7 linked regions of the Canis lupus familiaris genome follow. The protein of the gene in region 4 binds, or shares a complex with, the protein of the main gene of each other region. Links are inferred from orthologs where the notes say so. Each region holds a gene or a part of one and is shown on either strand. Other genes may lie near its edges.

Region 1 (4,090 bases), on a different chromosome or scaffold from region 4:
TTCTGGTCTAGGAATAAAGAGGATACAAATGAATCAAAGACGCTTCTGATACTCCAAAGTTTAGTGTTGGGAATGACAAAGGACATTAAGTACATATTACACAATCAGCAAGAAAGTAGAAAGTAATAAAAAGTATGATCCTAAGAATTAGGCACTACAAAGGTTTAGCAGGATACAACCATGGCCAGAACTGTGGTGTCTAATCCAAAGCTATAATGTCTCTCATCTCTTTGCATAATTAATAAGTCTGATCTAAGTATTTGGAGGAAACCAAAGCACAGAAACTAAAAACATTGCCTCAAAGGTAGAGTTTTAAAAATTTATGGACTTTCAGCCCAATGTTCCAACAGAAAACACGGAACTCCATTTCTAAAAGAGTTGGACTAAATGGAAACTGGAAACAATCTTCCTGAAAGAAATCCATGCAGTTGGAAATTTCCAGAGGAAAGCTACTAGGAGGTTAGGAAGAAGAGCCTCTACGACAGAGTCCTTTTGGTACAAAGCTGAGACACAGCCAACCTACTCTGAAATAGTTCTTTTGAGAAAGTTATATTCCACAGGGAGATAATAAATGTGGCCACTGTCCACGGATGCCCTTACTCCACAGAGGAGGTACATGCCTCTTGTGTGAACTGAGATTTAAGCTTAACCAGAAGCTTTTCAAACCACTGGTGTTTTTGTTTTTTTGTTTTTTTTTTTAGCATACATACACCACCATGACTTCTACAAACACATTAACTGAAGGACAAAAAAGATATCTAAAAATGCCAATATTCGGGATCCCTGGGTGGCGCAGCGGTTTGGCGCCTGCCTTTGGCCCAGGGTGCGATCCTGGAGACCCGGGATCGAATCCCACATCAGGCTCCCAGTGCATGGAGCCTGCTTCTCCCTCTGCCTGTGTCTCTGCCTCTCTCTCTCTCTCTCTGTGACTATCATAAATAAATAAATAAATAAATAAATAAATAAATAAATAATTAAAAAAAAAATGCCAATATTCAAAATGACTGTCTGCCAAACCCTAAGGGACCTTCCTAAAACCCTGAGTGATTTAAGTGTATTATTCTATTTTTGACTAGTGCCAGCTAGCAACACACACAAGGATTCTCCTATATGCTTCAGAGCCATTTCAATACTACTCTGAAAAGGGCTCATATTTGGGAAAAAAACAGGTTCCAAGGGTAAAGTGGACTGTCTGAGGTCACTTGCAAATCAGCAGGCACCAGCAATAGATTTTAAGTTTTCTCTTAGTCCAGACCTCCAGGCATTCCAAACAGAAGGCTGCTACTCAGTATAATCCCAACAGCTATAATGTGCTTTCCAGCACAAAAAGATCACTCTAATCCCTACTCTGAGCAAAGCAGTGCCTAGAAATCCTAGTGTCATTTCTTCCATCTTCAAGTGTGAGTTTGGTACGTTCCCAGGGACATCAAAGCATCTTTCAAGCAAACCAACCCCTTCCCTTCCCCTGTTCTCTATTGAAGAGGATGCCTTACCCTACAGGAGCTAGATCTACCCAACCTCCACAATGACTACCAGATAAATACAAATAAGGGGGGGGGGGGGCACAACGACCACAATGCTGCCAGATGAAACAGCTAGGGAGGAAAAAGAAAAGTCATCCTAGCAAAGTTCAGTAGTCCAGTGGAAATCCCAAAGAAGATCTCACTAGAGCGGGGAGGTGAAGTCAGTGGTAACAAAGAAGATAAGCAATGTGTGTAGTATTTACCGAGCGCCTATTACGTGCTCTTCTGGGTGCTGAGGACACAGCAGTGCATAAAAGTGGGGAGCCAGGGCTGGCACAGTGAGTGACAGGCATGTTGAATTTTAGGGCGGAGGGTGGTAGGGACGATGGAAGACACTTGAAGCGGAAAGGTGGAAGATGGAGGTGCGCTGACCTGGCTGAGGCTTCGGAGTCGGGCAGGCTTAGGTCTGAATCCTCACTTGACCACCTAGCTAGCGCTTAGCTGGACTCGTGAATCATCGGTAAAGAGGGTGCCTCTCGGTCTTGGGAGGGTTTCAATGAGCTAATGCACAGGAAGCGCTTCGCCAGCGTCTGGCGCTAGTAAGCGCTCTGTAAAGTAAGAACTGTCTCTTGTTTTAACATTTCATCTTCTCGTTCCCAAAGTCCACTACGGAGCCTGGGATCGCCTAAAAGACCCGGGCACGTCGGCCGACGGAGCCAATGCAGGAGGAAATGAGAAGATGGATGAATGAAAGGCTGCGAGGAGAAAGAGGGCAGCAACTGCAGCGAGGTGGCTCGGCCACACGCGGAACAGACCTCCCAACGAGCACATGGAGGAACCCGGGAACGTCGCCGGGGCAGGCAGGGCAACCGGCTGCAGCGGGGACAGAGGCGGGGGCTCCCCCCGGGCGACCGCGAAGCGCCCCGTCGCGCCTCGAGGGAGCGTCACGCCGGACAAGGAAGCGCGGGGTGGGGGGGCGGCGAGGAACGCGGGAGGAAGGCAAAGAGACTGGATGAAGAGACGGGAGGCCGGCGTGAGGCAAGGGGAGAGGCACCGGCCCCGTCTTGGAGAAGTCGCCTGGGATCCCCGCGCGCGGGGACCGTTTGGACGTAACCGCCTCGCGTCTCGGCGCCCGTCCACCTAGCGGGGCTTCACCCCGCTACCGCCGCCACACGTCTCGCCCGCAAGTCCCGCCCGGCTTCCGCTCGACTTCGACCCCGCGCCTCACTGCCACCCCCGCCGATTCGGCCCGCTCCGCACCTCACACACTGCCCGCCGGCGGCCGCCGCCATCTTCGCGCGCGCGCGCCCCGGCCCCGCCCCCAGACGCCGCAGCCACGTGACCGTTCGCCTCCGGCCGGGCTGTGGGCGGTGTTTCTTGTCACGTGACGGCGGGCGGGGCCAAGATGGCGACGCCCAGAGAGGTGAGGAAGCCGCGGTGGGAGCAGCACGGGCTGTAAAGAAAGCGGCGGAGTAGCAACGTCTGCGTCCTAGGTGCGAGGCCGTGGAGGATAGCTGGGCGCCAGTTCCCGAGCCGCAGAGAGAGGCTTGCCTACAGTGGAGCTTCCCTCCTCGCAGCTGGAGAACGGAAAGAGGAGGTGCTGGCTGTGTGAAGCTGCCGCTTTCGGCTTGACAAGGCTTGAGGGACCCAGAGGCCAAGGCGTCGCTAGTCACTCCGGTTTCTCCGGGGCCCGGTCTAGAGACATGACCCGAGAGCACGCTCCCCCGGTCCCCGGGGCTCCGCTGAGTGGGTCAGTGCTGGCGGAGGCAGCAGTAGTGTTCGCAGTGGTGCTGAGCATCCACGCAGCCGTGTGGGACCGATACTCGTGGTGCGCCGTGGCTCTCGCAGTGCAGGCCTTCTACGTCCAGTACAAGTGGGACCGGCTGCTGCAGCAGGGAAGCGCTGTCTTCCAGTTCCGCATGTCCGCAAACAGTGGCCTGCTGCCCGCATCAATGGTCATGCCTTTGTTCGGACTGGTCATGAAGGAGCGCTGCCAGTCCATGGGGAACCCATATTTTGAGCGCTTTGGAATTGTGGTGGCAGCCACTGGGATGGCAGTGGCCCTCTTCTCGTCGGTACTGGCACTGGGCATCACTCGCCCAGTGCCCACCAACACTTGTGTCATCTCAGGCTTGGCTGGAGGTGTCATCATTTATATCATGAAGCACTCACTGAGTGTGGGCGAGGTGATCGAGGTCCTGGAGGTCCTGCTGATCTTCGTCTACCTCAACATGATCCTGCTGTACCTGCTGCCCCGCTGCTTTACCCCTGGGGAGGCACTGCTTGTATTAGGTGGCATCAGCTTCATGCTCAACCAGCTCATCAAGCGTTCTCTGACTGTGGTGGAGAGCCAGGGCGACCCAGTGGATTTCTTCCTGCTGGTGGTGGTAGTAGGGATGGTGCTTATGGGCGTCTTCTTCAGCACACTCTTTGTCTTCATGGACTCAGGTACCTGGGCTTCCTCCATCTTCTTCCACCTTATGACTTGTGTGCTGGGCCTTGGCGTGGTCCTTCCCTGGCTGCACCGGCTTATCCGCAAGAACCCCCTGCTCTGGCTTCTTCAATTCCTCTTCCAGACAGAGACCCGCATCTACCTCCTGGTCTACTGGTCTCTGCTGGCCACCTTA
Region 2 (4,162 bases), on a different chromosome or scaffold from region 4:
TCTTTAAACATATATATATATATATGTTTATATAATAAAAATATATACCTAAACACATATATAAATATATACATAAACATATATATATATATTTATTTATTTATGATAGTCACACACAGAGAGAGGCAGAGACATAGGCAGAGGGAGAAGCAGGCTCCATGCACCGGGAGCCCGACATGGGATTCGATCCCGGGTCTCCAGGATCGTGCCCTGGGCCAAAGGCAGGCGCCAAACCGCTGCGCCACCCAGGGATCCCAACATAAACATGTGTATTAAATATATAAACATGTTTATACGTATAAACATATTTATATATAAACATATATAAAAACATATATAAACATATATATGTTGAGGATATATATATATATATATATATATCCTTTATACATAGCCCATAGTGTTTATACATCTTCCCCCTTACCCTGCCTCAACGCCATATTCAGGCTATTTCACTCCTTTATAAGGGTTACAACTTAGTTCAGTGATTTGTGGGTTTTCACAGCAAGATCCCACCCAACGCAACAAATATTCATTGAGCGCCTGTGCATCAGGCACCGTATCAGGCACTGGGATCCGCGTTAAATGAAAGATACCATCCTGCACTTGAAGAAAGCCTAGTAGGAGTGATGAACAAGTAAACAAATTACCCAGGTGAGCTTCAAGAACTTAGTTTGGAGCTTAAGATAATATAACGTGTATAAGCAGCTTCCAACCCTGTAAAACAAAGGATGCAAGAGAACAGATCCCTTCAGGGAGGGAGAAGGGAGCTAAGGTACCGTCAAGTGCCGCTTTACCGTAAGTAGCCTAATAATCCAACCCATTAGATATACAATCTATAAGCGACAGCACCTGCCTTAAAAGCACGTGGGATTGTAAGGGGGAAAAAAATGCAAATTCATACCTACTAAAATCAGAATTGGGAGGACGGGACGTTTAAATCTGCGTTTTAAACAAACTCCCCATGGACTCAGGCCACCCAAGGTTTTAGAACACAGCGCAGTCAAATTCGGCAGGCCTCATTCCCCAGCCGCTCCCTCCCTTCGGCTAAGGAGGCTGGCCCCGCGGCGCGCCTCTCCTCCCTCCCTCCCTTCTCCCCCGGAGCCGTCCATCTCGTCGGCGGTCACCCAGCGGGAGGCAAGGTGCAGCCACCTACCGCCCAAACTACCACGCAGACACCTGGACCCTCGCTCCGCAAAGGATTCCGGGAAACCTCAACAAGCCAATAAAGGGCGGGGAGGAGGGGCAGAAGAAGAGGGACGAGCGGCTTCTTTGATTGACGCGAAGCACGCCCAATGAGAGCAGAGGACCAGGGACGCTTCCGCCTCAATGGGCGGGCTGTTAGCAACGTCAACCAATCCGACTCCGAAGCGTCTACCTTGTGGGAGGTCCTTGAGGCCGCTGAGGTCGTTGGTGTCTGTTGAACGGCTTGTGGAAGTCGTGCTGCCTTGGGCAGGGCGTTAAAGTCGTTCTCGAGGGGAACGTCTCTGTCCGAAGAGAAAATGAGTTTAGCTCTGAGGTCGGTAATGAGGAGGCCGCAATGCCCTCCACACCTCGCAGCGGGCCCCAGGGCTGGCGTGTGTAGAAGGGAGGTAGCTGGGCCGAGGCGAGCTGGAAGGGGATGCATTTTGGGATGAGGGCGAGGAGCCTCGGCCAGCCTTCCTGGCTCGGATTCCTCACCCTGGGGGCCCTGGTGCTCCGCAGGTGAGGAGTCCCGTGCATTTGTGCCGAGGTAGTTAGCGTCTGTATCAGCGCGTCGGGCTTTGCACCACCGAGGAGATGGGTTTCTAGTTGGGAGGAGGGAGTGAAATATCGCGATGCTTCTTCTCGCGGTGTTTCTCCGCGAAGTCAGGCCGGGGAGCCTCCCTGGGTTCAGCTCCGCCCTCCGGGTCTCCGGCCCCTGCAGCCCCTGCAGCCCCTGCAGCCCCTGCAGCCCCTGCAGCCCCTGCAGCCCCTGCAGCCCCTGCAGCCCCTGCAGCCCCTGCAGCCCCTGCAGCCGTCAGACCGAGCTATAAATTTTGGAAAGAGCTTTAAACTCTTCCTTGCTCTTATCCTGGGGCCCTGCTTTAAGATATAACGGGCGACCCATATAAATGACTTTAATTGATTTCTCAAAAAAAAATTTTTTTTTAGTTTTGTTTACCTTTCATTGACTTCCAATCTCTAACCCCGTTCGTTGCCCCCAGCAGCAGCAGCACCTAGATGTTTTTACACGTTGCACCTTAAAAAAAAAAAAAAAAAAAAAAAAAAAAAAGGTGGTTACGCCTTTCTGAACAGGTGCGGCTTTGGGTTGGGAGATGATGGTGGCAGCCCTGCCTCGACCCCGTGGCGGGTCCTGCTGTTGACCTGGCCGTCCAGAGAAGGTGACCGCGGGGACTGGGGTCCCTGTTCGCGCGAAGTCAGGTGTCTTGTGAAAGGTTGTCCCCCCGCTCTGTTTATTACTATAGGTCTCCTGGTCATCTTCTGATCGTCTGTCTCTTGACGGTTTTGTGGTAGGTTTTTAGAAAGCAAAACACAGGCAAATAGGTAAGGTGTTTTTATTAAATAAAATCAACTAGGCTTTACATTTCAAAGTGTTAGGAAATTGGTTTCAAACTTCTTGTACGGATGTTGCGGCACCATTCGAAATTTTGGAACACTAAGATGAGTATCTCTTAAGACATACCTGGCTTTTTTTTTTTTTTTTCCTTTTTTTTTTAACATTTATTTATTCTTGAGAGTTAGAGAGGCAGAGACACAGGCAGATGGAGAAGCAAGCTCCAATGCAGGGAGCCCGGTGCAGGGACTCGATCCCGGGACCCCAGGGTCACGCCCTGGACTGAAGGCAGGTGCTCAACCGCTGGGCCACCCAGGGATCCCCATTTCTGCCTTTTTAAATAAAATCTACTTTCAAGAAATTTCCAGGATTTAGGAGAAGCTATATCTAAATTTACAAGTGAAATTTAGAAAACCATGGACTCTTCACTATGGGGTGAGCAAGGCTTTGACTCATGGAAGAAAAATTTCATTTTTCTCTCAAATAATTCCTTTTAAGAAATTTAAAAAATATAGAAAATTAGCACAAACATTCTTGTTTTGGCTTTTAATTTTCATGGTATATTTAGACTTCAGTATTTCGGTTGATTTGTTAATATCAATGGAAGAAATTATAAATAAAGCCCCAAACTTAGCAATGTGTACTGTAAATCACTTTGAACCCACAATGCCACAAACTTTGTAAGTTAATTGTTAAGTGATACGCTTTTTTTGGTAGTAATTTTGATAACTTATAAATGCTCTCAAAAGTAAGCCAAATATGCAATGATCCTCAATTATGAATTTTCCTTTGATTAGTTTAATACTATGTTGTAGAGTAATGTTAATAAGTAGGAGTGCTTTAGTTTTGTTGCGATTTCTGTGATGAATAATTTTTTTATTCACAGTTATTTCTTCCACATTAATATCAGAATAAATACAAAGCCAGAAGGAAAGAAAGTTAGGTCCTTTTTTTCTTATAATAACATGTAACACTTTTCAGTTTTGGAAAGTGCAGATTTATAGCAGCTTAGACTATGGATTGAGCAAGGCTTTGACTCATGGGAAGAAAAATTTCATTTTTCTCTCAAATAATTCCTTTTTAGAAATTAAAAAAATTCTTCCTTGTTTAATTTCTTTGTCGCATTTTGAAATTTTAATTATCTAGATGTGTAGGAGAATAGAATTAAAGTAGACTGAATAGACTTTTCTTCTCATTTCATAGAAATGAGCTTGTAGTAGACAAAACAAAGAGAAAAAAAAGAAGAGAACTCTCTGAAGAACAGAAACAAGAAATTAAAGATGCTTTTGAACTGTTTGACACAGACAAAGATGAAGCAATAGATTATCATGAACTAAAGGTAATAATGTACTTTAAAATGTATATTTTTCTGTTAAAATTGTTTGCATTTTCTATAGTTGGCTAAAATAACCCATCTAAAGTATTTTAACTAAACTGGTTGTGGAAATATGAAACCATTTGAGATGTTCACAGTTAAGTGCTATAATAAAATTAAATACTAGCATCTTTTTAGACTTTCCTTTTCACACTGTGAAGCGAATAGTATTTTAAATATAAAAGTATATTACTATGGTAGGGCCTTATTTTCACTCATGTAATAAAAAGATTTCAAACTATAGGTTTTAA
Region 3 (3,494 bases), on a different chromosome or scaffold from region 4:
TCATGTCCCAATATGTCCCTTTTATACAGTTTTGCTGTGTGAGAATCAGTAAACAGTTCCCGCATTTAAAGATTTTCTTAAAGGTCACCACCACTCAAGTTCCCACTGTGACTTCATTAAGGATACAAGAACAGAGGGAAAGCAGTTTGGCTCGATTATTGATCAACTTCACCAAACGCCGTCTTGCTAGAACATATTTCTGGGCAGTAGAGATTTTCTCAACACCAACAGGCATCACAGACTGACACAACTGAGAATCAGAAACAAACGCAGGATTAGCGATTACATAAACTAACAGAAACTTCATGAAGAGAGGGTCACTTATGACAGGCCCTGCAAAAAAACAAAGAAGTTTAAACATTCCTGCAGATGAGAGTTATCATCTGGTTAGGAAGCTGGTAACTTTATAAAACCGAGAGCCAAAGTAGTGGAATTCACAAATGAAGACTCCTCTGCCGATTTCTGCAAAAGGTCTTATCTCTGTAACAGATGTTTCCAATCTGCTGAGGGGCCGACCAACCCTGAATCTCTTGTCAAACTAAAACAAAATTCAACAGTAGGTTTTTCAGGCCGTGGGTCTAACAACGCCATGGAGATTTTCTGTAACAGCTGTCATGTATCTTCTGAAGAAAATGTAAAAGCCGATTTCTACAGCATTAACTAAAATAGGCTCATCAACCAGAACCTCCTTTCATCACACCTCTGTTTGGCATAAGCACTGCGGTCCGATTCAAAATTCAGCTGCTGGGTTGGACAGAAGGCAAACTGAAGTGGGGCTGGGAGGGCACCGCACACTTGCCAGGAAGGCTGCCGTTTCTCTGGCGAGTGCTGGTGTCACCCGTAAGCTACGCGTGTTGGGGAAGGGCTGCCAGATGTAAAGCCCCCCACTTCAGGGATTACTAGAACCTCATCAGTAACTCCCGCCTCAGGACCTGCTAGCTGTGTGGCTTTGGGTAAATTATTCAAACTTCCAGGGCCTCCACTTCCTCATCTGAGAAAATAGGAGTGGCTACACTATCTGCCTCATGTATTGCAACAGAACTTGTCTGGCACATCAGAAACACCCACCAACTGCTCCCTATGATTGCTGGAAGCAGGCAAGAGGGAGGAGGTTTTGACTACTCTGAAGAGTAATGCGGAGCTTTTCAGGACAGTTGGTGCAAAGGAGGAATGGCAAAATGGCTCCACATCTAGGCTGCCACGGGCCACCAGGGAGCTTCAGCACCGGCCAGGGTATGCCTTGTGTCATTCAGCTGTGCCGGATGGGAGAGAAAGTGGCTACTTAGGATGTAAGCCTAGCGACTCAGTATCTTTAGCTACAATATCGGTGAATGATTCTGGGTCACTGAGGGCAGGCAGTCAAGTCTTATATGCTATCCCATTTGTCTGAAAAATTCTCTAAACAGATACTGAAGATGCTGAAGACACAGAGACCTCTTACTTAAGGGATCACTTCTACTGAATAAGCATCTGCAACAGAAACCCAGGTTTCTCAGCACAGATTTCAGAGTATGAATTACCAAAACTCTACTTCAAAAGCCAGCTGCCGTTCTACTGAAGGGTAGCAGGTGGTGTTCCTGAACAGATGCACTTCACCATCTTCCATTCAAGTGTTGCCCTGATTACCAGGTGTGGTGCTACGGGGAGGACTCTTCTTCAAACCACACAGAGGCATCATTTCAAGCCCTTTTATCACTGCATACATCATCTTTACACACAAGTCGGACACCAATATTTTGGTCATTAGGAAAAGCAAGGATTCTCCAAAATCTCCATGGCTCATTATAAGATTCATACCTCTTTTATCTCATCTGGTGGAAGCTGCTCTACATTCTGTAGCTTGTTGACACTCCGTCGGTGACTGTCATAATAGCTGAAGAAATCATTAGCGCTCTGTTTCAGCAGGTAGACAATAATGCCCAAACCTGGCAGGCGCCAATATGGAATCACTGGAGCTTGGGTATCTAATAGAGTTGATAATAAAAACAGAATGTTCCACTTACAAGAATATTAAATGAATTTCAAATGACCTGTTTTAAAACAAGGGATGCCCAGAACTGAAGGGCATGTAAACTATTATTAAAACCAACCCACAACTACTTTTAAATACTTCTGACAGTTCAGAGGAGTGGTGAAGTGCCATGGTGATCTGGGACTCAAATCTAGGCAGTTCATCATCAGTCTCTGTTCTTAACTGCTAGCTTAAACTGCTTCTCTACAAATGAATATTCCTGAATCTACCACAAACCCACCCCCTCCTGTGTCTACGACTGGCAAAGGTTAAGTTTGCTGATTAAATCTTTAAAGAGTCTAAGGAAGAATAAAGACCAATATATATTAGGCTTCATAAAGTTCATCAAGTATTAAAGATCGGAGAATGGCCTAGTATGTGAAAGACAGGCTCAAAGTGAAAAGAAAGCAAGTGAAATTTTAATTGTTAGTGATGATTATTAATGTTTTTGAAGAATAAATGACAAAACTATAATTTCATTTGAAAATGTTATGATCAGGCTCAACTTAACTTGTTTTAAAATGTTAGATTCGGGGCAGCCCCAGTGGCTCAGCGCTTTAGCGCTGCCTTCAGCCCAGGGCATGATCCTGGAGACCCGGGATCAACTCCCATATCAGGCTCCTGGCATGGAGCCTGCTTCTCCCTCTGCCTGTGTCTCTGCCTCTCTCTCTCTGTCTCTCATGAATAAATAAATAAAATCTTAAAAAAAAAAAAAAAAAGATTCAAGGGGGAAGAACGGAGCCCCTTGGACACTTTATAATGGAGTTGCACAGAGTTGTTAGTTCCTGGCACCATTTACATGAAACAGTGGTTAGATACTGTTAAACTAATATACTTTAATAACACCATCCTACTAAATCTTTTATGTGATTAAGCAATTTTCAGGGAAAATAAGATCTTGAAGATGAAAATGTGACAAAATGATTTGCAGAAAAATCACAGAGCAAGCACCACTAACATCCGAATAGACTGTCTTCTGAGGGTCCCATGGGATAACAGCTTTCATCAACCCACAACCCTCACATTCCAGATCTCACCTACTGGGTCCTTAGGAAATCACAGACTATGTCAGTTTACTTAGCATCCACACTTTACTTTGCTGTGATACAGAAATTTGGAGCTATACTACGAGACCCAATTCAGACACTACCTTCAGCTTAACATGATCTTACGCATAAACCGTCTGTTATGTTTGTACATTTTTCACCCAGCTAGTTTACTTGCCCATCTTAGATACTTTCTTTGGGGTCTCAAATACTATTCAAACCCAAAGCTCTTTGAAATTTATCCTTAGAAAATCTTGAATTTCTCTGTCCTCTTGAGCTCTCTAACCTATCCACAGGACTGACACCAGTACCTCCTTACTGATCTTTCTTAAAGTCATTGACAAATTTTCCCACTAATTACACATAAAGAAAAGAGCTGCATTTCACTGGAGCCATCTAGAGCTTATTTTAATCACAGCAACTTAATCCTCAATTAC
Region 4 (3,500 bases):
AGTATTGGATATGCATGCACACCTTTTAATCTGGCAGTCCCTCTCTTGGGTGTATATACCCTAGAAAAATATGCCCCAAGACACATACCCAAGAATGAGCAGAGGTACATTTCCTAAAAGGTAAAAACAACTCAAACACATTCGTGAACAGTATATGGATAAATTGTGATATGTTCATAAACAGATTGACTAACACAGTGAAGGAGAACAAACTATATGTAATAACATGGATCAACTTTACAAGTTAAGAGTGAAAGATGCAAGAAATCAAGAGACTTAATACAGTGAGATTCCATTTATATAGAATTAAAAATAAGACAATATGGTATTTTGTAGAGATTCATGTATCAGCAGTTAATTTTAAATTAAAACCCCAGGAAAGTGATCACTATAAAAGCCAGGACACATGAGAGCAAGGAGAGAGAGGTGTGTGATCACACAGGGACCCAGGAGGGGCTGCTGGCCATCCAAGCATCTGCTTCAACACCACACTGTTCCTTTATGTTTCATGCTTTTCTACATGAAGTCATATTTCAGTTAGAAAAATTAACATCGTGCAATTCTGAGGAACTATATCATCATAGTACAATGTGAGCAGCCATATTAAAAACAAAAAACAACAAAACAAAAAAAACCACAGAGGAATGTTTGTTTAAATATGCAAGTATCATCAAACAGAAAGCATCCTGGGTGCTTGGGCTATTCTGTCCCAGGAGAAAACTGGAGTGGAGGTATAACCTTCTGAAGTAAATCCAATCACAGTGGAGTGTTGGATTAGAAAATATGGCTAAAACTAGGCTGGAATGCTCCAAAAATCAGATGGGGAGAAACAGGACTGATCAATGCTGTTGAAACTAATACAACATGGTGTGTCATCAATACTTGAATAATAAAAATTTCAAAGAGTAAGAAATAACTACATTTTTAAAGAATGTAAATCAAAGAGTAAGAAATAACTACAAAGAGTAAGAAATCAAAGAGTAAGAAATAACTACATTTTTAAAGAATGTATTTTTTTAATTTATTTGACAGAAAGAGAGCACAAGCAGGGAGAGCGGGAGAAGGAGAAACAGGCTCCCAGCTGAGCAGGGAGCCCAGTGTGAGGCTTGATCCCAACACTCTGGGATCATGACCTGAGCCTAAAGAATACAATCAACTGAGCCCCCAGGCATGCCAAATCACATGCTTTAATACCTTATAGTGTGCTTCATTATATAAAAGTTGAGAATGTTGTTTACAGCAATGTCCAAACATCTATTTTTCTATTTCGCCAAGTACAAGAGACATTTAAAGAAAAAAGACATAAGCCTGGTTTCAAAATTCAAAAACCATCCTATTTAAGACACACAGATCCTAAGTACAGACACAAGCCATGTGACCAGCACACACTCACCGGAACTCGGAGCTGTTGCAGAGCCAAATGCAGACTGACCGGGCTGTTGTCCAAACACAGAAGGCTGGCTGCTGCTGGACACGGTCCCAAAAGTAGGTGGTGCAGGCTGAGAACCAGCAGAAAACAACGCTGCTGAAGAGGACAGAGCTCCAAAGCCTGGGGGATTAGGCTGGCTGGCACCTTGACTTTGTCCAAATGTCGGGGTTTGGTTAACACCAAATGCTGGACTGGCAGATGGTGCTGAAGGTCCAGTGCCAAATACAAAGGAGGATCCTAGAGGCCCAGAGAAACACTGATGTCACCTTAATAGCTACTAGGAGATAATTCTCAAGAAACATCTATACCTTCAGCGGCAAACTTCAAGCTTCTTTTCATACACTTACCTACCTGTACAAATCCCATCAAGGCAAGTTTTCAATAAATAATTAAGAATACAGTTCTTGCCATTATTTAGTGAAACCATACAGACAGAATGCACATACACAAAATCATCTACCTATTAACAAACCCACATCCACAGCCAAACTTTTTTTTAGGTAGAGGGCCCATCTAAGACAACAGGCGATAACTCATCAGATATCTAATAAAGAGCAGAAACCAACTAACGTTGTCATCCTGTATATACTACAGAATGAGGACTTTTGTCTAACGGAACGGTCCCCCAGTTTCTGGTTACTTAACAACATAACATTTCAAAAAGAACAGTGGAAAAAACCAACATGACATTCTTATTGAGACTAGAAAAATTCTTCCCAAGACTTAATTCTATTAAACCGAATACAAACTATACAGGATTCCATGCAGTGAACAGTTACAACATCCTGAGTAAAGAGGACCTAACGGCACCCAGGCCATTCTGTGAAAACCTGCTACGCTATTTGCTAAGAGAGGATATAATTCAAGCCAGTCCAACTACAACACGTATGTTGTTCTTCTGTCAAAGTACCTGCAGAGCTGGAGGTGGTTGTAGCTCCAAAACTGAAGCCAGAGGTGGCGGTGCTATTACTGCTGGCTCCAGGACCAAAGACAAATGGTGTGACAGCTGGGCCTGTGCTGGACGTGGTTGCTGGTTTGCTCTCTTGAGAGAACAGCAAAGGCTGAGATGCGCTGGATTCGGCAGAGTTCCCAAAGGCAGAGCTGCTCACAGGATTGCTGGCCTGTCCAAACACGAAGGCAGCCACAGGCGCGCTGGAGGAGGAGGTGGAGCTACCAAATATGCCCCCGGGGGCTGATGTTGCTGGTGCGCTCGAAGTGGAAGCACTGCTGTTCAAGAAGCTGAACACAGACTTCACTGCACCTGGATCTGAGAGACAGAAACGAAGGGGGAAACAAAAATCTGTAAGAAAAGGAGTCACAGAAAGCATTTCTTCCCACTCTCCAGCCCAGTAATTCATTAGAAAACAGAATCATTAGGCTTTTTTCATATAAATGTATTCATCAAATGGACATGTTATATTAAATTTTGATATAAAGCAAACATACCCATCTTTTCTTTGATGGCTTTTGGACTGTATCTTAGACCAGGCACACTTTCAGCATTCAGATTAATGAGAATAAAAAATATCACTTAAGTCCAACACATCTAACTGGAGGATATGTCCGGATAACTGTTCAGATAGTGGGAGACAGCTGTACTCTTCATTTTGCCATTTATGTTAGCAAAATCATAATTTATCCAACTGACAGCCACTTTTCTCTGCATTATTTACTGACAGTGCATCCTTCAACTCACTAATTGGTAACTCCACCTTTAGGACATACTAAATCTCCAAAATATGTGTGCATTTGTTTTCTCTACAGTTACTGTTACTAGACTGGTTTAATTATTGTAGCTTCATAGTATGGTTTGATATTAGAACAAACCTGTTTGTGTTCCTGCCCTTCTCTCCAAAATTTGTGCATTTTCCCTTCCATATAAATTTTAAAACAAGCTTATAGCTTGTCACACTCCACAAATTAAGGCTTCCAGCTATGGAAGGACTAGGTCACAAGGATCAAAGAGGGCACAGGGAACGAGTCTATGGTCCTGCACTAGCATCCTACGGTGACAGATGGGAGCTACTCTTGCAGTGAGCACAGCACAAACAACACACAGCTGTGTGATCAC
Region 5 (4,091 bases), on a different chromosome or scaffold from region 4:
CTTACTGTCAGGCTCAGTCATTGATGGCAGAGCCCTAGTGCTGTCCTCTTTCCATCCAGCCCCAATCTTGTTGCATTGGCTGTTCCACATTCCACTTCTGTGGGTCCTTCATGTGGTTTCTTCCTGGCTTCCTCCTCCATAGCTCACCAAGGGTACACCTGGCATCCAGTCTCTGTCTTGTGTCCTGGTCAGATTTACCAACAAAGTTTGGACTTAAACCCCCTCGCTGCCACCCCAGTTCTCTCTTGGACAAAGCTAGTGAGGTTATTTTCATGATGAACTTTCAGTATCTGAGGTCAAAACTGATAAGTTCGTTGGTTTAATTGTGGTTAAATTGATATTTATTTTGTAGAGGGGGTAAAAATTGTCCTTTTATGAAATTAATCATAAATTTAAAATTTTTAATGAAATGGGATGATGACCTCATCATGAAACTTCAGTAATTTTTTTATAAATTAATTTCCAGTGGGTGAGTTATAATGTAGGACAGATCCAGTTTTTCCCATGTATTGTATTAAGTATATAGCTTTCTCTCAGACAGACATGGAACAAACTTATTTTGTACTCTGAAGTTGTATAATGAAATTCTTTCTATACATATACTTATTTATTCTTTTGATTTGAAATTCTGTTCACCTGAAAACTAGGCCTTTTTTTTTTTCTTCTAAAATACCACTGGTTTTTGTCTGGATATTCAGAGGGAAAGTACTAGTCTGGACCAAGTGTGATCTGAATTCATGCCATTTATACTGTCACTGCCTTATGCTGTGCAGCCTCAGAAATGTTAAGTATCAGTTGGTAGTCGGAAGGGAATGTTTTTGCTCTGGTCTTTGCTTGCCAGTGGGTGCTAATTTGGCAGGAGAGTGCAGGAAGAACAGACTCTCCACAAATGGAAGAATAAAATTCCTATTCATTCAACAAATGAGCACCTACTATGTGCCAGGTGCTGTTCTAGAAGCTTGGGATATATCAGTGAATAAAACACACAAAATCCCTGTCCTTGTGCAGCTTACATTCTGGCATGGGTTACAGTAAGGGAGATGAGGGAGTGCTGGGGGTGGTTGCAGGTTGCACTCTTAAATATTTTGTTCTAGGTTAGAATCAAAGGCAAGATGACAGTTCAGCTGAAACAGAGAAATCAGTCAGGAGCGTATCTGGGAGAGGAGTGTTCCAGATAGAGGAAACAAGGAGTACAAAGGCGCTAGAGCAGAAATGTGCCTGAGTCATTGGGGGGCTAACATGGAGGCTCCAGGGTGACTGGAGCCCAGGAAAGGGAAAGGAGGCAGGGCTGGAAATGAGTCCAAGTCCGGGAGGTAAGAGGAGGTGAGGCTGCTTCTGTAGGGCTTTGCTCTGTACAAGAGGTTTAGGCAGAGGAAGGGTTCTTTGAAAGGATCACGTGGAACGTAGGAGGCAAGAGCTGAAGCAGGGAGGCCCAGGGTAGTGACTTGAGTGGGTAGATTCTGGGTGCGTTTTGCGGGTAGATTTGAAAGGCACTGTTGGTCCTGGATTAGTTGTGAAGGCTTTCAAGGATTTTATCCCAAGCAGCTGAGTAGTGGTGGCTCCACACTGAGAAGACTGAGGAATGGGTTTTGTTGACAATAGAGTTCAGTTTTGGGCATGTTAACTTTAAGATGGTGTTTAGAGATTCAGCTTTTATTTTACTGTAGTCAAATAATTCTGTTAACTTTAAAAAAAATCTTATTTATTGGACCCTATTAAAGTAAATCGTGATTTTTATTTTGCATTTATTATTTATATTCAGATTCATTACTCTAAGTCTTTGTGGGGGCAGGTCATTTGAGAAGTTGAGCATTTCTTTTGTCTGAATTTGTCTGGCATGGATATGAAATGTTAGATGTATTTCTTTCTTGTTTTTTTCCTTCTTTTTTAAACTTAGAAAAGTTTGTTTTATTCAGTCCTTTATTCAAGGAGGCCTAAAATTTTCCTTATGAAAGAAAGTATTTCCTACTCCTTAGCTCTGTTCATTATTTTTATCTTAGAGTTAAAAGGGGTAGGGGGAAGAGGTAGTATATTACTTTTCTTTCCTTTTTCTGGTGAGTGACCATGTTTCTGTTAGTAGAATGTTACTGGCCCTGTTGGTTTCTGAGGAAAAACATTTCTCTATCAGACAGGAGCTGTGTTGTTTAAAAATACTAATTTCTTTCTTCTTCTGTCCAAGAGAATACTCATTCCTTGTCCTGCCATCCTGATATTCCCACAGGTAGAAATGGCCAGTTACAGCCTCATTCTACTGGGTCAAAACAATGATTATCTAGAAATTTTAGGAAAAAGTTAGTGTGTATATGACTTTTTGTCTCTAAAGATTAAAGAATACCAAAGTGTTTTTGTGTTTACCCCAGCTGAACTATTTTTGTTTTAACCTGGTGCCTTTACCTTTAAAGTTAATGTCAGTTATCTATCTATCTATCTATCTATCTATCTATCTATCTATCTATTTATTTATTTATTTTAAGTTAATGTCTTTTTTTTTTAATTTTTATTTATTTATGATAGTCACAGAGAGAGAGAGAGAGAGGGAGAGGCAGAGACATAGGAGAGGGAGAAGCAGGCTCCATGCACCGGGAGCCTGATGTGGGATTCGATCCCGGGTCTCCAGGATCGCGCCCTGGGCCAAAGGCAGGCGCCAAACCACTGCGCCACCCAGGGATCCCAAGTTAATGTCTTCTAATGTCCATTTTAAAAAGTCCTCATTCTCCTGCGCTGAATTTATGTTGATGACCATGCCCTTTTAACATTAACTTGTGCTTTGTAGCTGAGATATGTAACTATCATATTAGACCAGTGGTATTTTAAAGGTGCAGTGGGAAGGCATGGGTTTAAAACCAAGAAAAGTATGATTAACAAGAGCTACTATTTAAGGAATTTTCTTTTTTCTTTTTAAGATTTTATTTATTTATTTATTTATTCATGAGAATACACAGAGAGGAGAGAGAGAGAGGCAGAGACACAGGCAGAGGGAGAAGCAGGCTCCATGCAGGGAGCCTGATGTGGGACTCGATCCCAGGTCTCCAGGATCACGTCCTGGGCTGTAGGCGGCGCTAAACCGCTTAGCCACCAGGGTTGCCCTTATTTTTTCAATAAGTAATAATTTTGTTAACCTTTTAACAATGTAAATTTTTAAAAAAAAATTGATGGTGATAATGTTTATGTTCTGTTTTATTTTTTTTTTTTTTTTTTTTTTTTTTAAATTTTTTTTTTTTTTATTATTTATTTATGATAGGCACACAGAGAGAGAGAGAGGCAGAGACACAGGCAGAGGGAGAAGCAGGCTCCATGCCCCGGGAGCCCGACGTGGGATTCGATCCTGGGTCTCCAGGATCGCGCCCTGGGCCAAAGGCAGGCGCTAAACCGCTGCGCCACCCAGGGATCCCTTATGTTCTGTTTTAAATAGTGGTAGAGTTAAAAACATTCTGTTGGTCAAGAATCTTATACAAGGATGGTACAGTATATGTAAGATTCATAAATGTGTAATATCTTTTAAATGGCAATACTGTTCATATGACTTTGCTCTGTCAACTGTTGGAGAAACAGGTGGTCTTGTTAATATTTATGGTCTAGAAGCCAGCTGCTATTTATATTAGTATAATTATTAGTAGCAATGGCATTTCTTTTTCTTTCTTTTTTTTTTTTTTTTTTTAGAGAAAGGGTGAGGGAAGGGCAGCGGGAGAGGGAGAGAGCAGGCTCCTGGGCCAGATGAGGGCCTCAGTCTCATGACCCTGTGATCATGATGTGATCCAAAATCAAGAGTCACTTAGCCACCCAGGTGCCCCAGCAATGGCATTTCTAAAAGTAGTAGGTATAGTAACAGTTAAGTCTAATATTCTGAATGTCATCTGTAACCAGCAGACATAGATATCTGCTCTCAGTAACCTTGTAAGCTAAAGAATGTGTGAATGGAAACATGAATTTTAAAAGACTGTCTTTTGTTAGCGAAGGAGCAAATATGTGAGAATAACACGGGGTTAGTCAGGAGACCTGTGTTCTTTTGTCCATCCAGCCACAATGCCACCAGAGTACCCTGGGTGCCTAACAGCTCTGTGGATTGGAGTTGCTTCTCCTATCCACTCTGG
Region 6 (4,016 bases), on a different chromosome or scaffold from region 4:
GGAGGAGGTGTTATGGATATTTAATGGGTAAAGGTGGGGAATGCTGCTAAACACCCTACAATACAAAACATAGCTTTGAGACAAAAGGAATTACCTGCCCCAAAATGATAACAGTGCAGAGGCTGAAAAATCTTCTGTAGAGACATGCTATGCCAAATACTTAGGTTCAATTCCTAACCAAAAGAAACGCACCAAATTCTTAAGAAACAATGTTTAGGTACCTTAACTCTAATATCTATATTGTTAAATCTCCAAAAATGTCTTAGACCGCCCCTAACCTTTCAACAAACTGCATAATCACAGATGTGCACTCTGTTGGAAATTAAACATTAGTAGTAACCCTTACTTCCTAGGTTAATTACTACAATAAAAATATCACAATAAAATAATATACTCAATTTCTTCCGAGCTGTTAATTTGGTTCCCTAAAAGCTTGATTTCAACTATCTAGGAACTAGTAGAGACATGAATAAAGTCAGGTACCAAAGTACCACGAAACATATGAACGGTGTAAGTCCTCTTATCTAGGCCCCATATTTCAGGAACACACATATAATCAGTCTTTTAATAGACAATTTTTAGGTTTAGCTGCTCCCTGCTCCCTATTTATCCCTTCAAGTAAACACTGAACGCCTATTAGGTGGCAAGCAATCTGAATACAAAGAGAAGAAATGGGTGCCTGGGTGACTTAGTTAAGCATCTAACTCTTGATTTCGCTCAGGTCATTATTTCAGGTTTGTGAGCTTGAGCCCCAAGTCAGGCTCCACACCAGCAGGGAGTCTGCTTGGATTCTCCCTCTCCCTCTCTCTCTCTTTCCACCTCTCTAAAATAAATAAATAATTTTTTTAAAAAGATAAAAATATTTTACCACAGTCTAATAAGATAAACAGCTAAAATACAAAATGATGTGTGCTATAAATAGAAGTATCAAATAAGTGTTATGGAAGCTTGCTGGAGACAGAATGCCAGGAAAGGCTTCCCAGAAGAGGGTGATGCTTGAACTGAGAAAATGTCACAGAAAATATACTCTTCACATTTCTGTGTTTAGACTACCGTTCTCTTCTGCTCTTACACACTAGTTTTCAGTTTTTGCTTTGTCATCTAAACAAGAACATGTGATATGACCAGTGTGAACAGACCAAAGTGGCAACTTTTAACTCAATTTCCTCAAATCTTAATGAAGAGTCAAAAAAAAAAATTTTTTTTTTTCTGTCAAAGTATTTCCCAGTACCTGCAAATTGTCCCAGTTCTGGTTTTGTTTTTTAAATCTCCTAACTTCTTCCATCAAGTGAATAGATCATCTGTCTCCCAGTTAACAAGCTGAATTTCTAAGACTGTCGTCACAGGGGATGATCACTGCTCTTTTCTTCCAGTTAGTTTCTGCTTCCAAAGAGAGGTTTCATTTCCTCACCTTTTCCCACTACAATACTTTGAATTCTGTCAGGAAGGAGCCATAAATTCCAAGGTACAAGAACTACAAAATTACCGCTGCCTATCTAAGTCTTGTCTGTATTTTCTGCTTTCTATTCCAAAACTCTTATGAGTCACTAAGTGGATTCTGTCTCCTGAGTCCCCAGCAGCTGACACAAATAATTTCAGATTTGGAATAGGAAATTAGCCAGACATGGGAGTCTTATCCATTTGTTTCCAATACATTTACATCACCGACATTCCTTACCCAACTTTTTAATTCTCATGGTTTAGGTTAGGGTCCCGCAGATGAAGTTTCTGCCTTAACACGAACAGAACTGGTAACCACGCAGAAACGCTGTTGAAGGCTGCTTCTAAATACCGAAGCCCCCACCCCCCTCCCCCCAAAGGTTCCAAATTGAACCTTCAATAATAGGAGGATGGAACACCCAGGGAGAGTGATACAGTAGAAAAATTTCTAGACTGAGGCGGATCTGGTACAGGCTAATCCTAATCCTGTCCCTTCTTTGGACCTCAGTTCCTCCACCTATAAAACTCGCACGTGATGTACGATAGGGGGATTGGCTTAATTTCTAAGGTTCCCCAAAGCTACAGTAATCCAGAAATCCCACCTTTCTCCTCCTCTAGCTTTACACGAAACACGTGGGAGGGCAGAAAATAACCTTTTACTCCACTAGATCGATCTTAATTCTCAGATCTTGTGTTAAAAAGCTTAACAAACTCCCGACCCACCCATCCGAAACGCCGGGCTGCACATCTCCCCCGTGGAGACGTCAAGGCAAATTAAAGCCCGTCCCGAACGACCGTCAACCAAGCAAGCGCTGGGGAGATCCTATTCAGGGTCCTAAGACGCGGCCCCCGCAAAGGGCCCGCCCACCTAATCACCGCCAGGCAAATGAATGAGTACCACCAGATACATGGACGCTCCCCGAGCGCAGGCTGCCACGGGAGACCCCGGGGCCCTGGCTCCCCGGACCTCGGTCCCCTCCCAGCGCCCGCAGAGCCGGGCCTCGGGGCCTCGGGGCCGCGGGGCCGCGGGGCCGCGGGGCCGCGGGGTCGCGGGCCCCGCCCCCTCCCTCGGGGCAGAAGGTGCGCGCCCGGGCGCGAGACTTCGGCGCGGAGGGCCTGGGACGCCCCGCGCACCCGCCCGCCCAGAGGGGAGGAGGAGCCTGTCGGTCCGGGGCCGCCACCGCCCGGGCTCTCCACTTACCGCGGTGCGGTGGGGGAAGGGAAGTGTCAGGAGTGAAGGCCTAGGCCCGTCCGCCACCCGCCGCTCGGGGAGCAGCGCGCGGCCGCCACGAAACCGTCGCCGCCGATACCACCGCCGCCACCGACCGCCGCTTCGGGCGCAGCGCGCAGAGGGCCCGACTGCGTCACACGCCGCCTACCGTCACAGGCTCGCCCCGGGCGCTCCGCCCTCGCTGCCTGCGCATTGGCAGACGCCCCCGCCACTCTAGGCCCGCCCTGCGACTCATTGGGCAACTGGTCTTTTGAAACCGAACGTGAGGGCGGTCTTCGGGAGAAGGAGCGAGGGGGAAGAGGAGGAACGGGAGGAGTTACGGGGGGGAAATGGGAGGGACGGTGGGAGGGACAGGGAGTCCCGCCCCCTCTGCCGCGATTGGCTGGGGCGAGTCGTGACGTCACACAAGGCCCCCGCGAGGCGGGCTTGTGAGTGGCTGCGTTGGTGTGCACTGGGCGGGGTGCGGGAGAAGGGTGGTGACGCTATGCCGAGGCTCCGCCCCCCGCGTTGGAGCCGAGACAGTCAGGCTGCTGAAGCTCGGGCCAATCAGAGGGGAGGCTCCAGGATGGCATGGTAACTATTCTACCCTTTCGTTGCCCCAGTCCGCGGGCGGTGATGGGAAGGCTTCCCCGTAGTCCTGCCCGTACTTCCTGGCCAGACCACGTGCGGAGCTGGAGGGCCCTCCTGGGAGGTCTGTCTCTCCGCATAGCTCGCCTGCAGCTGCTCTGAGGCCCCAAAACCTGGCCTCCTGGTTTCCCAACCTATGCCGGCCCCGTCACAACCTTTCCTCTCTGAATCCCCAGAATAGACGCTATGAGCATGCCCTAAGGGAATGGCTCAGGGTAGGATATGTTACAAATGAGTATTCTTGGAACTTCTTAACCACCTGCACTTTAGGAGCTCTTATTTATTCTTAAAGGCCTGGTTCAAATGTTCCCGCCTTCTCTGGGATACATTCCCAGATCTGTCTCAGAGTGTTGGGCTACTGCTTGGTTGGGCAGGCCTCTGTTACAGCTTTGTCACTTTGTATCCTATTATTTACTTTTCTGTCTTCTGTGCCCAGGCTCTTTAAGGTCACAGCGGCATTTTATTCATAAAGGTTTCCCTTCCCCACCCTGGCCTAGTCCAAAACAGAAGTATTACAAGGGGAAATGTTGAGCATGTTCTAGAAACCAGACCCAGTAACTGAGAGTCCTGACACAGAATAGCAGGGACTGTGCTCAGAAAGCAAAACCTATTCAGACTACTCTCCACCACCACCTTCTCCTGGAACATCAATACAAGACTGAAATGGGCTCTGCACAAAAGTAGATGAATTTAAATCCCTCTTAGTGTTCAATGGTAG
Region 7 (3,500 bases), on a different chromosome or scaffold from region 4:
CCCTAGCCATTTGTCCTTCCTCAATAATTTTCCTGTTTTGGCTTATCTCTTGGCACCCACTGCCCAGCCGTTCTCCAGTCCGGCCAGAGCAGCATGAGCAGCAAGCATGCAGGAGGAGGGTGGGCTCACCTTGCTCAGTCATCTGCCGCTGCTCACAAATCCGCAGCACTTTGAGAGCTTTCTGCTCAGTGCTCAGGGGGATCCGCTCAATGTGCAGCTCCAAGGAAACTCGGCCCAACTCAGGGCAGTAGTCAAAGTAGTCCACTCCCAGCTGCCACAGGCTGCAAACATCCAAGGACAGGAGCGACTGATGAGCCCATGTGCTGCCCTAGAGCTTGGGGACTGGCACCAAGATGACTCCTCCCCTGGACCCGTTGCCTTCAGGGAACCAGACAGGGGAGAGCACAATCCAAGACCCAGTGGTACATCCATGCTGAAAAGCACCTCATATCCTTGGGGCTTTCCTACCTGTGATGAGCAAACAGTCCTGAGGCATATTCCAGCAGGAGGAACTCTCTCATGTTAGATCCAAAGCTGAAAGAAAACATAACAGGAGACCCAAACCCCTGGCCTGCTCCATTCAGGGCCCTCCCACAGCCCAACCCAAGGGCAGGCATGGCCGCCACACACTTACTACAGGTTGTGCGACTGGAGGAGCTTGCAGTGATCCAGCAGGTCTGTCAGATGGGCCACAAACCACCAGTTGCTCAGAGCAATACTACAGATTCAAACACCAGGGCAAGAAGGAGAGTCAGGGTGACTATATGGCCCATGTGAGCCTGCATATCCTTTGCATAAAAGGATGGGAGGGACAATAACAAGTGAAAATATGTCTGGAAGCACACAGCTATGTGCTATGTGGGGACGGACAGTGGATACTCAGAAGGATGGTAAGCCCTCAAAGTGGAAGCCAACAATCTAGATCTCTGGAAAATGTCACAGTGAAAATAAAATTCAGGGATCCAATCACATGCAGAGAATGTGGATACAAAATAATGTGTAAAAAAAAAAACCAAACAAACAGATAGGCTTAATAAACACAGAGAACAAACTGGTGGTTATCAGACAGAGGGAGGTAGGGGACTGGAGAACTACGTGAAAAGGTACAAACTTCCAGTTATGAGTGATTTATGCAAATGAAAAGTATAGCTATGCTAACTTTATGTGGTAACGCATGGTAACTGCACTTCTGGTGGTGAACGTTTTGTGATGTACAGAATTGTCAAATGTAGTAAACCTGAAACTAACACATCAAAAATACAGAAATCAACAAAAGACTAAGAGACTGGTAGTTTTTGATGCTTGAGGAAACATGGACTTCAAAGCAATATATTTGCAGCTGGCTTCACTATTAATGCTTCTCATTGTACAGCTTTTGATTAATATACTTTATGAATAGGACTATATATATACATATATATACATGATACTTTTAAAAACCATCTTTTGTTTAGGTTTCTATTAGTACTTTGTATAAAGAAATTTTGTTCAATTACAAGATTTATAATTTTATCGTATATGTACTCTGGCCACAATGAAGGTGAAGTCCTCTCCCAAACCACACTTTTAATCAAAACCTAGAAGTTCCTGGGGCCCTTGTTAAAAGTGAAGGTTTCTAGGGCCCTCTAAAGGTCTGATTAAGTAAATGCCTTGGAAATCACTGTTTTACATCATCAGTTGTTTGAAAACACCCTGCATCATGCTCTATAGAGTATTCCAATGCACTTACTGTATGTACATACATCATTTCTGGTTATATTACTCATTTGTTACTTGGCATAGGCCTTTCTCTTTGTATATAATGCTTGACTTTTTTTTTTTTAAGTTTTTATTTATTTGAGAGAGAGAGAGTAGTAGAGAGCATGAGTGAGGAGGAGAGGGAGAAGCAGCAGGCTCCTCACCAAGCAGATCTTATTTATTGGGACTCCTGTCTAAAAGAACAAGGTCAGAAAGGAACACAGAATTACAAAATTAGCAAAGCCATAGCTAAAGGAGAACTTGGATCAAGGAAGTACTCTTTGAAAACTTGAGCATGATAGGACTTTGTGTAGCACATAATTTATAGAACTCTTAGTATTGAAGGATTGTGGAAATATAAAAAAATACAAGAAAAGGTATTTTTGAAAATTGCCAAAAACGGGATCCCTGAGTGGCTCTCCGGTTTAGCGTCTGCCTTCGGCCCAGGGTGTGATCCTGAAGACCCAGGATCGAGTCCCATTCGGGCTCCCTGCATGGAGCCTGCTTCTCCCTCTGCCTGTGTCTACCTCTCTCGTTCTCTCTGTGTCTCTCATGAATAAATAAAGTCTTTTTAAAAAAAAAGAATATTGGAAAATATTACTTTTTTTTTAAAGATTTTATTTTAGGGCGCAAGTGCACGTGAAGGTGGAGAGGGACAGAATCTCAAGCAGACTCCTCACTCAGCACAGAGCCCAATGCAGGGCTTGATCCCATGACCCTGAAATCATGACCTGAGTTGAAACCAAGAAACAAGAGCATTCCCTAATGGTGGAATCCTGGAACAGATGGAATATTTGAGGATCCATAGCCCTAAGAACAAGGCGTAAGTTTTGAACATTTGTCCAGTAATTCAGTGTAAACCAATCTCTATTCTTTTTAGATCATGAAAGCAGAAGTTTTTACCTTAATGCATGATTATACCTTGAAACTATCTATCTTGATAGTCTGCTTCCAGTTTACTTACATTTGATTTTGTTATAGAAAGTAATCATTAAAACTCCACTTTCCTAAGAGTAAAAGACAAACACACTGGGGCACCTGGGTGCCCCAGTTAAGCATCCCAGTCATGATTTTGGCTCATCATGATCTCAGGGTCATGGACTGAGCCCTGCATCAGGCTCCATGCTCTGTGGGGAGTCTGCTTGAGATTCTTTCCCTCTCCCCCCCTTGTACACCCCCTCAAAATGCACACACAGTCCTCTCTTGTTCTCTAAAATAAATCTTTAAAAAAGTAACCAAGGGGCACCTGGGTGGCTCAGTCGGTTAAGCATCTTCCTTTGGCTCAGGTCATGATCCCGGGGTCCTGGGATCCAGCCCCACATATAGTTCCCTACTCAGTGGGGTGTCTGCTTCCCCCTTCTCCTCTTTACTCATGCTCTCTGCTGCTGGCTCTCTCTCAAATAAATAAAATTCCCCCAACTTGTGCTCCCCCTCACGTGTTCTCTCAGATAAATTCTTAAAAAAAAAAAAAGATTCCATGGGGATCCTTGGGTGGCTCAGCAGTTTAGCACCTGCCTTCGGCCCAGGGCGTGATCCTGGAGTCCTGGGATCGAGTCCCGCATCGGGCTCCCTGCATGGAGCCTGCTTCTCCCTTTGCCTGTGTCTCTGCCTCTCTCTCTCTCAATCTGTGTCTCTCATGAATAAATAAATAAAATCTTAAAAAAGATTCCTTTGACTAGTGCTCTATAAATATAAAAATCAGCAAATCTGAAATTGAGGTTAACACATAACTAATCCCTACTAAACTGCTTCCTGACCACCAT

Evidence for each region.
Region 1: NUP153 (region 4) and NUP188 share a complex: the UniProt entries of both Homo sapiens proteins name them as parts of the nuclear pore complex. The link is inferred for Canis lupus familiaris from reciprocal best matches to the Homo sapiens genes NUP153 and NUP188.
Region 2: NUP153 (region 4) and CETN3 share a complex: the UniProt entries of both Homo sapiens proteins name them as parts of the nuclear pore complex. The link is inferred for Canis lupus familiaris from reciprocal best matches to the Homo sapiens genes NUP153 and CETN3.
Region 3: NUP153 (region 4) and NUP205 share a complex: the UniProt entries of both Homo sapiens proteins name them as parts of the nuclear pore complex. The link is inferred for Canis lupus familiaris from reciprocal best matches to the Homo sapiens genes NUP153 and NUP205.
Region 5: NUP153 (region 4) and NUP93 share a complex: the UniProt entries of both Homo sapiens proteins name them as parts of the nuclear pore complex. The link is inferred for Canis lupus familiaris from reciprocal best matches to the Homo sapiens genes NUP153 and NUP93.
Region 6: NUP153 (region 4) and NUP98 share a complex: the UniProt entries of both Homo sapiens proteins name them as parts of the nuclear pore complex. The link is inferred for Canis lupus familiaris from reciprocal best matches to the Homo sapiens genes NUP153 and NUP98.
Region 7: NUP153 (region 4) and NUP85 share a complex: the UniProt entries of both Homo sapiens proteins name them as parts of the nuclear pore complex. The link is inferred for Canis lupus familiaris from reciprocal best matches to the Homo sapiens genes NUP153 and NUP85.

The regions. Positions count from the first base shown.
Region 1 is NC_049230.1:54,798,197-54,802,286, forward strand, and holds the start of NUP188 (nucleoporin NUP188), read right to left. Parts: upstream 2,801-4,090; 5' UTR 2,756-2,800; coding exon 2,724-2,755; intron 1-2,723. Other genes in the region: DOLK (dolichol kinase), read left to right, coding at 3,167-4,090. UniProt on the Homo sapiens protein: Component of the nuclear pore complex (NPC), a complex required for the trafficking across the nuclear envelope. Required for proper protein transport into the nucleus.
Region 2 is NC_049224.1:18,661,794-18,665,955, forward strand, and holds the start of CETN3 (centrin-3), read left to right. Parts: upstream 1-1,362; 5' UTR 1,363-1,502; coding exon 1,503-1,519; intron 1,520-3,739; coding exon 3,740-3,875; intron 3,876-4,162. UniProt on the Homo sapiens protein: Plays a fundamental role in microtubule-organizing center structure and function. As a component of the TREX-2 complex, involved in the export of mRNAs to the cytoplasm through the nuclear pores.
Region 3 is NC_049237.1:12,272,354-12,275,847, forward strand, and holds part of NUP205 (nuclear pore complex protein Nup205), read right to left. Parts: intron 1,965-3,494; coding exon 1,798-1,964; intron 251-1,797; coding exon 127-250; intron 1-126. UniProt on the Homo sapiens protein: Plays a role in the nuclear pore complex (NPC) assembly and/or maintenance. May anchor NUP62 and other nucleoporins, but not NUP153 and TPR, to the NPC.
Region 4 is NC_049256.1:17,831,655-17,835,154, forward strand, and holds part of NUP153 (nuclear pore complex protein Nup153), read right to left. Parts: intron 2,697-3,500; coding exon 2,340-2,696; intron 1,667-2,339; coding exon 1,394-1,666; intron 1-1,393. UniProt on the Homo sapiens protein: Component of the nuclear pore complex (NPC), a complex required for the trafficking across the nuclear envelope. Functions as a scaffolding element in the nuclear phase of the NPC essential for normal nucleocytoplasmic transport of proteins and mRNAs.
Region 5 is NC_049223.1:58,826,693-58,830,783, reverse strand, and holds the start of NUP93 (nuclear pore complex protein Nup93), read left to right. Parts: upstream 1-1,291; 5' UTR 1,292-1,294; coding exon 1,295-1,313; intron 1,314-4,091. UniProt on the Homo sapiens protein: Plays a role in the nuclear pore complex (NPC) assembly and/or maintenance. May anchor nucleoporins, but not NUP153 and TPR, to the NPC. During renal development, regulates podocyte migration and proliferation through SMAD4 signaling.
Region 6 is NC_049242.1:26,465,201-26,469,216, forward strand, and holds the start of NUP98 (nuclear pore complex protein Nup98-Nup96), read right to left. Parts: upstream 2,801-4,016; 5' UTR 2,642-2,800; intron 1,698-2,641; exon of another isoform or gene 1,679-1,697; intron 1-1,678. Other genes in the region: PGAP2 (post-GPI attachment to proteins factor 2), read left to right, coding at 3,156-3,244. UniProt on the Homo sapiens protein: Plays a role in the nuclear pore complex (NPC) assembly and/or maintenance. NUP98 and NUP96 are involved in the bidirectional transport across the NPC. May anchor NUP153 and TPR to the NPC.
Region 7 is NC_049230.1:6,133,619-6,137,118, forward strand, and holds part of NUP85 (nuclear pore complex protein Nup85), read right to left. Parts: intron 719-3,500; coding exon 635-718; intron 535-634; coding exon 469-534; intron 282-468; coding exon 130-281; intron 1-129. UniProt on the Homo sapiens protein: Essential component of the nuclear pore complex (NPC) that seems to be required for NPC assembly and maintenance. As part of the NPC Nup107-160 subcomplex plays a role in RNA export and in tethering NUP96/Nup98 and NUP153 to the nucleus.